2 linked regions of the Astyanax mexicanus genome follow. The protein of the gene in region 2 interacts with the protein of the main gene of each other region in a pairwise test. Links are inferred from orthologs where the notes say so. Each region holds a gene or a part of one and is shown on either strand. Other genes may lie near its edges.

Region 1 (5,482 bases), on a different chromosome or scaffold from region 2:
TAAAAAAAAAAAACAACACACAAAAAGATAAGTGCTGTGAGGAGCTGCCACTGTCCTCCAGAAAAAAGAAGCTGCTCCTGCTGCTAAAGGAGCTCAACATAAGTGTCTGTACCTCTGCTCAAACCATTCTGTGGAGGGAAACCCAGTTCTGAAGCTCCAGTAAAGTGGATGTGCTGGTTCTTTGTGGCTGGCGGTTAAACGGCACAGCAAGCCCGACCCACATGCTTTGCCCGTGCTTCAAATCCAAGCTATTTCTCTGGGTTAGGATGTTCTGGTGTTGGCTGGTCCTCTATTTAATGTTAACATCAAATGTTTTTGTGTCTAGATATATGTGTTACATTTAGTCCTGTCAACTACAGACATAGCTCCTCTTCTGTGGAAGATGGTGGATGGACATTAAATCAAAACTCCTATCTTTTTGTGTTGTGTTCAGAACTCTCATGCTGTTCATGTATTTTTTTCCTATTTTCACAGTTACATTCTGTTACTAACTGAGTATATTATACTACTCATGCTCTACATTTACTATCACTGTGGGTGTAACTAATACCAATGGTCTGCTGCTGCACTGGAAATTCCAATACAAATTAAACAACTAATGAGGCTAAAAGTCGACACCTTCACTTCCACCTGCACACACTCACCCATTGAGCTCAAACGCTCGTATAAGGATGTGCTGCAACACCTCCAGGGATGTAATTTGTGGATCAACTGCAAAGGAGCGAAACTCCACTGGCAGGATTCCCTCACATTTCTGTATAAAGACAAAAAGAAAGGAGCAAATCAGCAATCAGCAAAATTGTACTTTGAATTGAAAGATATTTCATAAAAATGTCCATAAATTAGGAATTGAGTAACTGATGTAAACCTGCATTAGGAAACTACAAATCTAGCTGTCAGTCAATTTGATACAATTCCAATATCGTTATGAACAATATAAAGGCCACCACGCTTGTTGTAGGCAATCAAGCACTGACAGGGGTGGGTGATACCGTAAACATATTTTATCACAATATTTAAAGACATTTTCATGATACACAGTATTTATCATATTTTGACACATAGACATAATGCATTAGCAGAGGCAGATTCAGTAGTGATTCTTATTTCATTTTTGCTGCACGTCATCCAAATTAACAGGAAGTTTATTTATACAATCTATGTAATGAAATGGACAGTTAGGTCTGTGTTATTTTAGCACTGATGATCTCCTTAATATGCTCAATAAGTTCTATGTCATAAAATTGAAATAGATCACAATAAAATCAAATATCGATATATTTTCCAGTTCTATGTCATAACATTTAAATTGATCACAATAAAACCAAATATCGATATATTGTCCAGTTCTACATCATGACAATTAAATTTATCACGATATGATAAAATATCTATATCTATATATATTGTCTAGCTCACGTCATGACAATGAAATTGATCAAAATACGATAAAATATCAAGATACTGTCCAGCTCTTTTTCATAATAATGAAACTGATCACAACATATTAAAAAAACAATATACTGTCGAGCTTTACATCATGATAATTAAACTGATTACAGTAAAACTAAATATCAATATATTGTCCAGCCTTATGTCATGATAATGAAATTAATCACAATGTGATAAAATATAGATTATATTGTCCAGCTCAATGTCATTATAATAAAACTGATCACAATATAATAAAATATCAATATATTGTACAGCTCTACCTCATGATAATGACATTGATCAAGATAGAATAAAATAAATAGAGAGTTTAGGTTGTTTTTTGATGATCACACAAAAAAGTGACAAGCTTCTACCCGTGGCTTTGTTTTTCTCCACATTTTAAGCTTATTTATTTAACGAGCTTCCCCTGAAGAGAAAAAGACAAACAGAGAAAAGCACACAACACAAGAATACTAACGTTAACTAATTAAGCTACTATTGAGTGACTAACAGAAGCCAGACAGCGGTTCATGAATAACAAACGGACCAGGTGATAAAAATGACTTGTAATATGATACCTAGGTAGATACCTAGCTAGCTAGGACATCTGACATGTTTTAAACGTAAAATACAGCATTAAAACAGATGGTAGTTAAATATTTGACCGGCTGTAGTAGGCTAGCTTAGCTAGATAGCTAGCTAGGTTACGTTAGTTGGCTAGCAACTAATAAACAGGTTGGAAATACGCTAGCTTTATTATTATTATTTTATTATTTTCTTACGTTAAGAGAGTCTAATCGGGCTAATCTGAGTTTTTTTGTGTGTGTCAGTGTTCGCGGACAGGTGGATAACATAGCTTTAGGTAATATTAGCCCAGCTGCTGCACTTCTCAGCATCTGTTATACAGTAAATACACTAGTGTTAGCGGTTAGCCGTTAGCCGCTGTGTTATTGTCCGCTCCCCGCGCTCCGGTGTTCCGTCGAGTTTTGCTACCCATCAATAGATGCTTATTTAAGGTAAAGCGCATGCGCCGTCCAACATATATATTTTTTGGAATATGTTTTCATGTTTTTCTAGATAATTCCTTAAGTTTTTATTGGGAGCATTAAACAGCCTGTTTGCATGTTACAAAACACTGTAAGTAGAAGTTAAATATAACAATAAACTAGCTGTACATTGTTGTTTTACCATGTTTAACTGCACTACCTCCAGTACACACACGAAAGTAGACTCTACTTTTATACTTTTTTTTTATTGTATTTTTACCTGCATCATTCTATCTTATCATTTTTTTTACCATCTGTGTACTATGTATACCTGCTACGTCCAGAGTTTCCCTCTGGAATCAATAAAGTATAAGTTACATCTAACTTACTTATTTATAAATAAAAAACTGTGGAAAAAACGGTTTCTAATCACGTAAATTACCTTAACTTTTTTAAATTTACCTAATACAGTGATTTAGCCTATCCACATATCCTACCTAGGCCTCTGCTAAGAGTATTTTCTATTACGGGTTCTAATATTTCTGTATTTTTAACTTAAAAAAAAGAAATACTACAAGGGTAGCACGCTTTCACAGGGTAGCACAACTATACAGAACACCGGCTCTCGGCTCTTGGCTCCCGGCTCCTGGCTCCCGGCTCCAGGTCCCCCCGCCGCCCCGGCTCCTCACCTTGACTTTGACACGAACTACCCCCCTCTCCTCCTCGACCGACATGGCGGGTAGTCCACGCTGAAACCCTCGCTCAGGAATCCTCCACCTTCATCCACAATATTAAGCTGAAACGTGGCCAAACGCCGATGTTGACTCCACTGCTCTCCCCTTCTTCTCTCTGCAGCTTTGGCAGAAAGAACGTCAACGAACGAAGCCAAGCGGGCAGATTTCACAATAAAAGCAGGTGTGAGAAAACAAAGCCTTGATTACTTTAATACCCATAATGTATTTAGAAAATAGAAGAAATGAACATAAAACAATACAATAATGAATTACATCCTTAAAAATGCATAATACAAATTATTTGTTAAGGAAAATCTTTATTTAGAAGATAAAATTGACCTCGCACCGCTAGATGGAGCCCGCGATTGAGTCCTCAATGAATGGGGTGAATTGAGAAAAACAGCAAAAAACTTAAATTAAAAATAGTAAATAACTATATTTCAATGATATTCAGTACATTTTAGAAATTATAATAAGGTACTTTAAAACCCACAAAAAACTTTACCGTTTCGTTTCTCTACAGCGAAAGGGTTTTGGGTAGAAGTGTCACTAGCATGACTGCTACTGTGAGCTGAGTGGTTGGTGAGCTGATGCTGATGCAGAAGTTACAATTATGTTAGATCCCAGAGATAAAAAGGTTTAAGCTGCAGTTAAAAAGCTTTAAAATTAATGCCTTCAGTACTGAAACATTTGCTATTGGGATCCACCCTTACATCCAATCAAATCCACCTATCCATCCATTCACCAATTCATTCATACAACCATCTATATATATGGTTGTATAGATATACAGCTCTGAAAAAAAAGAAACCACTTAAAATTGATAAGTTTCTTAGATTTTACAAATTTGAAAACCTCTTTATAATATAATCCAGAGGAAGATGGATGACCACAAGCTACCAAACCAAGCTGAACTGCTTGAATTTTTTAACCAGGAGTGGCATAAAGTGATCCAAAAGCAGTGTGTAAGACTGGTGGAGGAGAACATGTCAAAATGCATGAAAACTGCGATTAAAAGCCAGGGTTATTCCACCAAATATTGATTTCTGAAATCTTAAAACTTTTTTAATATAAGCATGTTTTCTTTGCATTATTGAGGTCTGCATCGCTTTTGTTATTTCATCCATTTCTCTTTTTCCGCAAATAAAAGCTCTAAATGACAATATTTTTATTTTGAATTTGGGAGAAATGGTGTCCGTAGTTTATAGAATAAAATACCAATGTTCATTTTATTCATATACCTATAATAGGTATGTATATTCTAAATATATACTGATAAACCTGGACTGTAAAGTGCGTAAGTGCGTATTCTCCTCTGTAGAGGTTCTCTGGCCTGGCTTGGCGTCAGCAGGCGCCAGAGAGGCACATGACATCATATGTCCATTACTTCATTTTATTTATATCTACAGTCGCAAACGATGATTTAAATAAAGGTTATATTGATTTGGAGGAAGGCTGTAATTAAGTGTTTTATAAATCATCCAGGTTTATCAGTATATATATATATATATATATATATATATATATATATATATATATATATATATATATGTAAATATAAAATAATATATACTGACGAACCTGAATTGTAAAGTGGGTATTCTCTTTTGTATATATCGTATTATGCGTATTATGATAAAACAATATTATTTTTTATGTTCAAAAGTAACGCTTACTCAGGTCTGCCGTGACCCGGATTCGAACCGGGGTTGCTGCGGCCACAACGCAGAGTACTAACCACTATACGATCACGGCGAGCTACCAGAGCACTGGAGGAGCGACCGGTGGGTTCCGCTCTAGAGCGTTTATAAAGGGACTGTCACAGACGGGTTAAACAGGATCCTGATCACTCTGATATTTAAACATTGAATAAACCTTTATTTTTTGGGTTGCATTACATCTTTTAGGGGTAATAATTGAAAAATTACATTTATACAAAGTTTATTTAACATTGATTAATAATTAACGTTATGGGTTGGTGTTAAAATTCTGACACTGAATCAACATTTATTAAAGGTTTTGAATGGTTAATGCTCTTCTGTATCTAACGTTACACTCACTGTGATGCCTCCCACAAATAATCATATTAATAACTATTATTTAAATGTCGCTGCAAGACTACAGGCTAAAATAAAAATATATATCCAGATTTATTAGCATACATATTAATTAATTCTGATTCTAATTCAATATATTAAAGACAAAATACCAATAGTGTGCAGATCTGTCCTCAAAGATAAATGTGCTACTTTGTTTAACACTTTTTGATATACAGAATAATTCTGTAAATGTTCATATATAGCTTTATTATAATCAATATATTATTTA
Region 2 (5,482 bases):
ATGGTGCCATGTAGCATTTTACTGCACTAAATATGCGGTGTTAGCATTAGCGATGTACTCTGTCCTAATTCTTGCACCAAACCCTAACGTCTTCTTTGAGATGTACACTTCAATGATGTTGCCATATAGGAAATAATAGGGTGGCAATAGTGTTGAGATCGAAATTGGGACACTTTACATCACATATACACCACTACTGCATCATGTTTCTGCAGGCTTGAATTAAGTTAAATTAAGTTAAAGAATTTCAGTATGAACTTCTGTCTTCAAAGAACAGTTTCTCTATCCTGATCATTTTTGTCCTGCACACTTTGAGATTTTCCTGCTCCAAATACACTTGATCAACTAATCAGATCATTAATACCTGCTTTTAGGGAAGGAGGGTGAGTTAAAGCAGATGAGTTCTGGAATATGTGCAGGTCAGGGAAATGATATAAAAGTGATTTGACTCATGATGCTGACTGTAATTTAGATGCACAATTTCAGTGTAGTTGAAAATATGAATGCAACAATGTATGAATTCTGGGCAGATGCAGATATTCGATGTTACACATGTATATATCTTCCAAAACTAATTCAGATATACACATTTATTATTAACAGTCTAAACACTCCGGTATACCTCTAGGAACAAACGTAACATTCATTTGCTTTGCATTGTAGCCTTAATCTAACTGAATGCAAACAATAAAATGAAAAATTTGCTTTCATATTTTGGGTTTCACATTTTTCTGGGTTTCAAATGTATTTAGCTAACTGGTCCTTACATAGTCTGTTCACAGCTTTAAACTTAAACTTTTTACCTTTTTAAAAACAAAAAAATACTGGGCTGAAATATCGGCCAAACCGGCTGATGCCGATTATAAAAAGAGAGGAAGTAATTATTATCCGAAATCGATTTAATTCTGATACCATTGTGCATCACTATTTTATACAAAATACAATAAAATATTTTATAAAAATACAATAAAATCTGAAAACATACTTTTTTCTGAGTGTTATATCAGTATATGTGATATATCGTGATATACAGTACCAGTCAAATTTTTGGACACACCCTCCTATTCTACGTTTTTTCTACAAGGTTTTCTGCATTGTAGATTAATATTAAATACATAAAAAGAAGGGAAAACATGTACGGAATGACATGGTAAACAGCAAAAAAGTGTTAGTCCTCCACAATCCCCTATTCTAAACCTGATCATCTGAGATGGTGATTTGAGTTGAGCTTAAGATTCAGGACCTCCAGGAACTCCTTCAAGACGCTGTGAAAACTATTCCAGGTGATTCTCCCTCATGAAGACACTGAGATTAAAGATCTGTCCTCAAAGATAAATGTGCTACTAATTCAGCATGTGTTCCTATATATCTTTACTGACAGTCTTCAAACTGTCTTAAAAAATGTACAATGTAAAAAAACATGAAAAGAAAAAATAACCACTTTTGTGTGGTAAAAGACACTTTTGAGTGGTAGTATATATCGTGTATATCAGGATATGAAATGTACTGTATTGGGATATGAATTTTTGCTCATATCGTACAGCCCTAGTGAGGAGAACCAGTGCCAGTCCAGGTTGGCAGGGCCTTGCCTGGCATCTCCTTACAGATCCTCCCCACAGTCAGACCCGGGGAATCAGCGTTTCCCCATCCCTCAGAGTCTCACCTACACTTCCACATCATCTGAGCTGATAAATAAAGCCTGTTGAGAAGATCTGAGCCGCACATCTGAAAGCCAGACTCACTAAACGCCATTTTCACACACATCTGCTGACAGACAGGCTAACGCTAAGCTAATGCTAAAGCTAAATACTGCCACTGTGGCCTAAACTAGCGATTAGCTAGCGGTGCTAACGTTAGCTTAGCATCACACACGAAGCCATAAACAGGCAGTTTCTGACAGACACGCACATAAATATCTGCTTAAACCCAGGAAAACGGGTCTAAAGATGTGTGTATATGTTTTTATACTACATTTCTCTATATTCTGTTAGCGCAGAATCTGACAGACTGCGCTAGTCAACGTTAGCATGCTGGCTAACTCCTTCCCCCACCCAGTCTGAAATAAAGCAGGCAGTAAATAACACCTAATTTCACCCAGTTTTCACTGATGTCCCACTCTGACAGCCGTGCAGTTTGTTTAAACGCGTGTTTTACTGTTAAAATGTGTAACCCACCCAAATTTAGGTTGCTTATTTTTCCTTCTACACGTCAATTTTCTAACCTACGTGTTACACCGAAATCTGTGATCTGCCGAATTCTGTCCACGTAAAGGCCGCTGTCAGAATCGGTAACCCCTTATGATTAAGCCTGTCTGCACTTTAACAGAGGAAAAACAACAATTAAAATATAACAATAAAAACATCCAATAAAATGATAAAACGATACAAATGCAATATTTATTTTTTGTTAGTTTTTATTGTTAATATAATTTAAAGTATGATAGTCTGCTTCTTGTGGATGTTATAAAAAGATTTTCCTCTCAATTCTTCACATAAAATATTTTTATTTTTTATTTAATCATCCAATCAATCAATCCATTAATAAACCTATACCTTTTTTTGCTTAATTTGCACTTCTGTCACATTCTTTAAAAGTGCTTTACGAGTGACTTACAACATTATAATAGATCTGGAATACCAAAATCTTTAGTTAATATGTTTAAACATTTTTAAAACATATATTTATTTTACTTTTGGGCTTGACTAGTACTGTACTAGTTCGTCTGTCTTCTTGTCGTTTTTGTATTATATCTAAATGCATAATTTTTTATTATCACATCCTAATCCTAATGTAATAATCTTTTATTTGTATTGATTTTTTTCAATCTTTTTTTTCAATTTTTTTTGGCTTGTACTTGTGATGCAAAATTCTTTAAACAACAATTTTTTATCATGTTGTTATTAATATAGCATATCCGACTCTTTTAAATAGCTAACTTACGTAGTCTGCGTAAGGAACTCGGATATAGCAGAACAGCACCCTCTAGGGTCACACAATTCGGCAGCTGCAGTTTTCGGTGTAACACGTTTTAAAAAAAAACAAGCAAACAGCTCAAGTAGGAGCAATAATCACCCCGTTTTCTCCACTGTGAGCCCATGTCTCACCCCGGGAGTGATCCGAGGGGTGAGTAGAGGAGTGAGTGAGGCAGTAAGGGAGTGTTAAGATCTTACCCGTGTCCCCGATGATGATGTATTTAAACAGGTACGCGTACGCCATCGCCCTCCGCTAATACAGCCCAGCAGCAGCAGCAGCAGCAGCTTTCTCCAGCAGAACACAGAGCTCTCCTCTCTCTCTCTCTTTCTCTCTCTGTGTTTCTCCTCTTTTCTCCCTCTATCCCTCTCTCTCTCTCTCTCTCTCTCTCTCTCTCTCTTTTCTCTCTCTATTCTCTCTATCTCTGCGGCTCTGTTGTTTCTCTCTGCGCGTCGCTTTTATTAAAGGAACAATAAAAACAGCCGAGCGTCCCGGAGCTCCAGCAGCTGCTGCGTCACACAGACCGCCTCCGCCACGCAACCGGAACTGCACGAGAGCGAGCAGACCAGCGAGCGCGAGCACGAGCAGTGGAGAGCGCAGGCACGAGCACGCGCACGCACATACGAACTACCTGTACCTTGTTTTTTTGTCAGATTTTTAAAGATAAACAAAGGTGTGAAAAGTATCCGTAGGTAGAAGTATAGACACTAGGGTTTAAAATACTTCTGTAGAAGTTGAAGTATTAACTCAAGCTTTTTACTATTTAAGTAAAAGTGTAAATGTACTGTTTTCAAAACTACTTAAAGTATAAAAGTAAAAGTAATATAAGAGGAAAAAATAAAGCTAGTAAGAACAAAAGCTTAGGCCGCTTCCTAGAGTCCTATAGTGCTCTAATCCCCCTCCTCCCCAAAACACATTTGTCTAAAAGCCATAATGACTTTAATGTTATAATAAAATGTTAAAGTTTATAAATTTGGGATGCACTCGGCTCCCTGTTTCAGCTGCATACAGTGGTATTAAAAAGTTTGGGCACCCCTGATTGTTTTCATGATTTTTCTTTATAAATCATTGGTTGTTCTGAACAGCAATTTCAGTTAAATATATCATATAGCAGATGAACACAGTGATATGAAGTGAAATGAAGTTATAGGATTAACAGAAAGTGTGCAATAATTATTTAAACCAAATTTAAACCAAACCCATGTCATTTTATTGATTTGAATATCTTTAGCACTAATTATTGTAACACAAAATGTGTTTGGTAAGCCCACTGACCCTTGACCTACATACACAGGTGAATCCAATTATAAGAAAGGGTTAAGGAGCCAATTGCAAGTTTTCCTCCTCTTTGCATCTTTTCTGAAGAGCAGCAACATGGGAGCCTCAAAACACACAACTCTCAAATATTGTTTAACATCATGGTGTTTAGAGTAAGGATACAAAAAGCTCAAATCTCAGAGATTTCAGCTGCAGTTTCCACTGTGAGGAACAGAGTGAGGAAATGGAAGAACCACAGACACAGTTCAAGTTAAGACCTGAAGTGACAGAACAAGAAAAATCTCAGATAAACAGAGGAGAAGATAGACAACCCACAGACCTCCAGAGCTCCAAACACCTACATCATCATCCTGCTGCAGATGGAGTCACTGTGCATCGTTCACTATTCACTATTCAGTGCACTTTACACAAGGAGAGGCTGTATGGGAGAGAAATGCAGAAGAAGCCTTTTCTGCGCCACAAACAGAGTCGCTTGAGGTAAAGATAAAGCTAAAGCACATTTAGGCAAGCCAGCTTCATTTTGGAATAAATTATGTAGAGGGCAGTTATTTATGCATGGAGGAAAAAGAACACAGCATTTCAACACAAACACTTTACTGCTCCCCACAGTAAAATCTGGTGGTGGTTCATCATGCTGTGGGGTTGTGGGACCAGTGCAGAAACTGGGAATATTGTTAAAGTTGAGGATCACATGGATTCCAGTCAATATCAGCAGATTCTTGAAAACAATGTTTAATTCAATTCAAATTTATTTATATAGCCTTTTTTTTAACAACAAAAGTTGTCACAAAGCAGCTTTACAGAGAAAACTGGTGTAAGCCTCTTATGAGCAGCACCACAGTAATGCCAATAATTGTGGTGACAGTGGCAACGAAAAACTCCCTTACATTAGGAGGAAGAAACCTTAGGAGAAACAAAGACCATGTTTTGTAGGATGAAAGCTTACCTTTAACCAGAAGCCAGAATCTGATTGGAAGCTATAGAAAGAGTAAATACTAAATATTGATGTAAATTTTCTGTTGGGATGCTCAAATTTATGCACCTGCCTAATTTAGTTTAATTAATTAATTATTGCACACTTTCTGTAAATCCTATAAACTTCATTTCACTTCTCAAATATCACTGTGTTCATCTGCTGTATGATATATTTAACTGAAATAGCTGATCCAAACAACCAATGATTTATAAAGAAAAATCATAAAAATGATCAGGGGTGCCCAGACTTTTTCATACC

The links. The genes of interacting proteins can lie anywhere in the genome.
Region 1: the proteins of rab2a (region 2) and tbc1d25 interact in binary tests that used the Homo sapiens proteins (3 or more experiments, as listed by UniProt). The link is inferred for Astyanax mexicanus from reciprocal best matches to the Homo sapiens genes RAB2A and TBC1D25.

What each region holds. Positions count from the first base shown.
Region 1 is NC_064419.1:40,392,104-40,397,585, reverse strand, and holds the start of tbc1d25 (TBC1 domain family member 25), read right to left. Parts: upstream 3,309-5,482; 5' UTR 3,155-3,308; coding exon 3,110-3,154; intron 755-3,109; coding exon 645-754; intron 1-644. UniProt on the Homo sapiens protein: Acts as a GTPase-activating protein specific for RAB33B. Involved in the regulation of autophagosome maturation, the process in which autophagosomes fuse with endosomes and lysosomes.
Region 2 is NC_064425.1:41,319,042-41,324,523, reverse strand, and holds the start of rab2a (ras-related protein Rab-2A), read right to left. Parts: upstream 3,519-5,482; 5' UTR 3,217-3,518; coding exon 3,171-3,216; intron 1-3,170.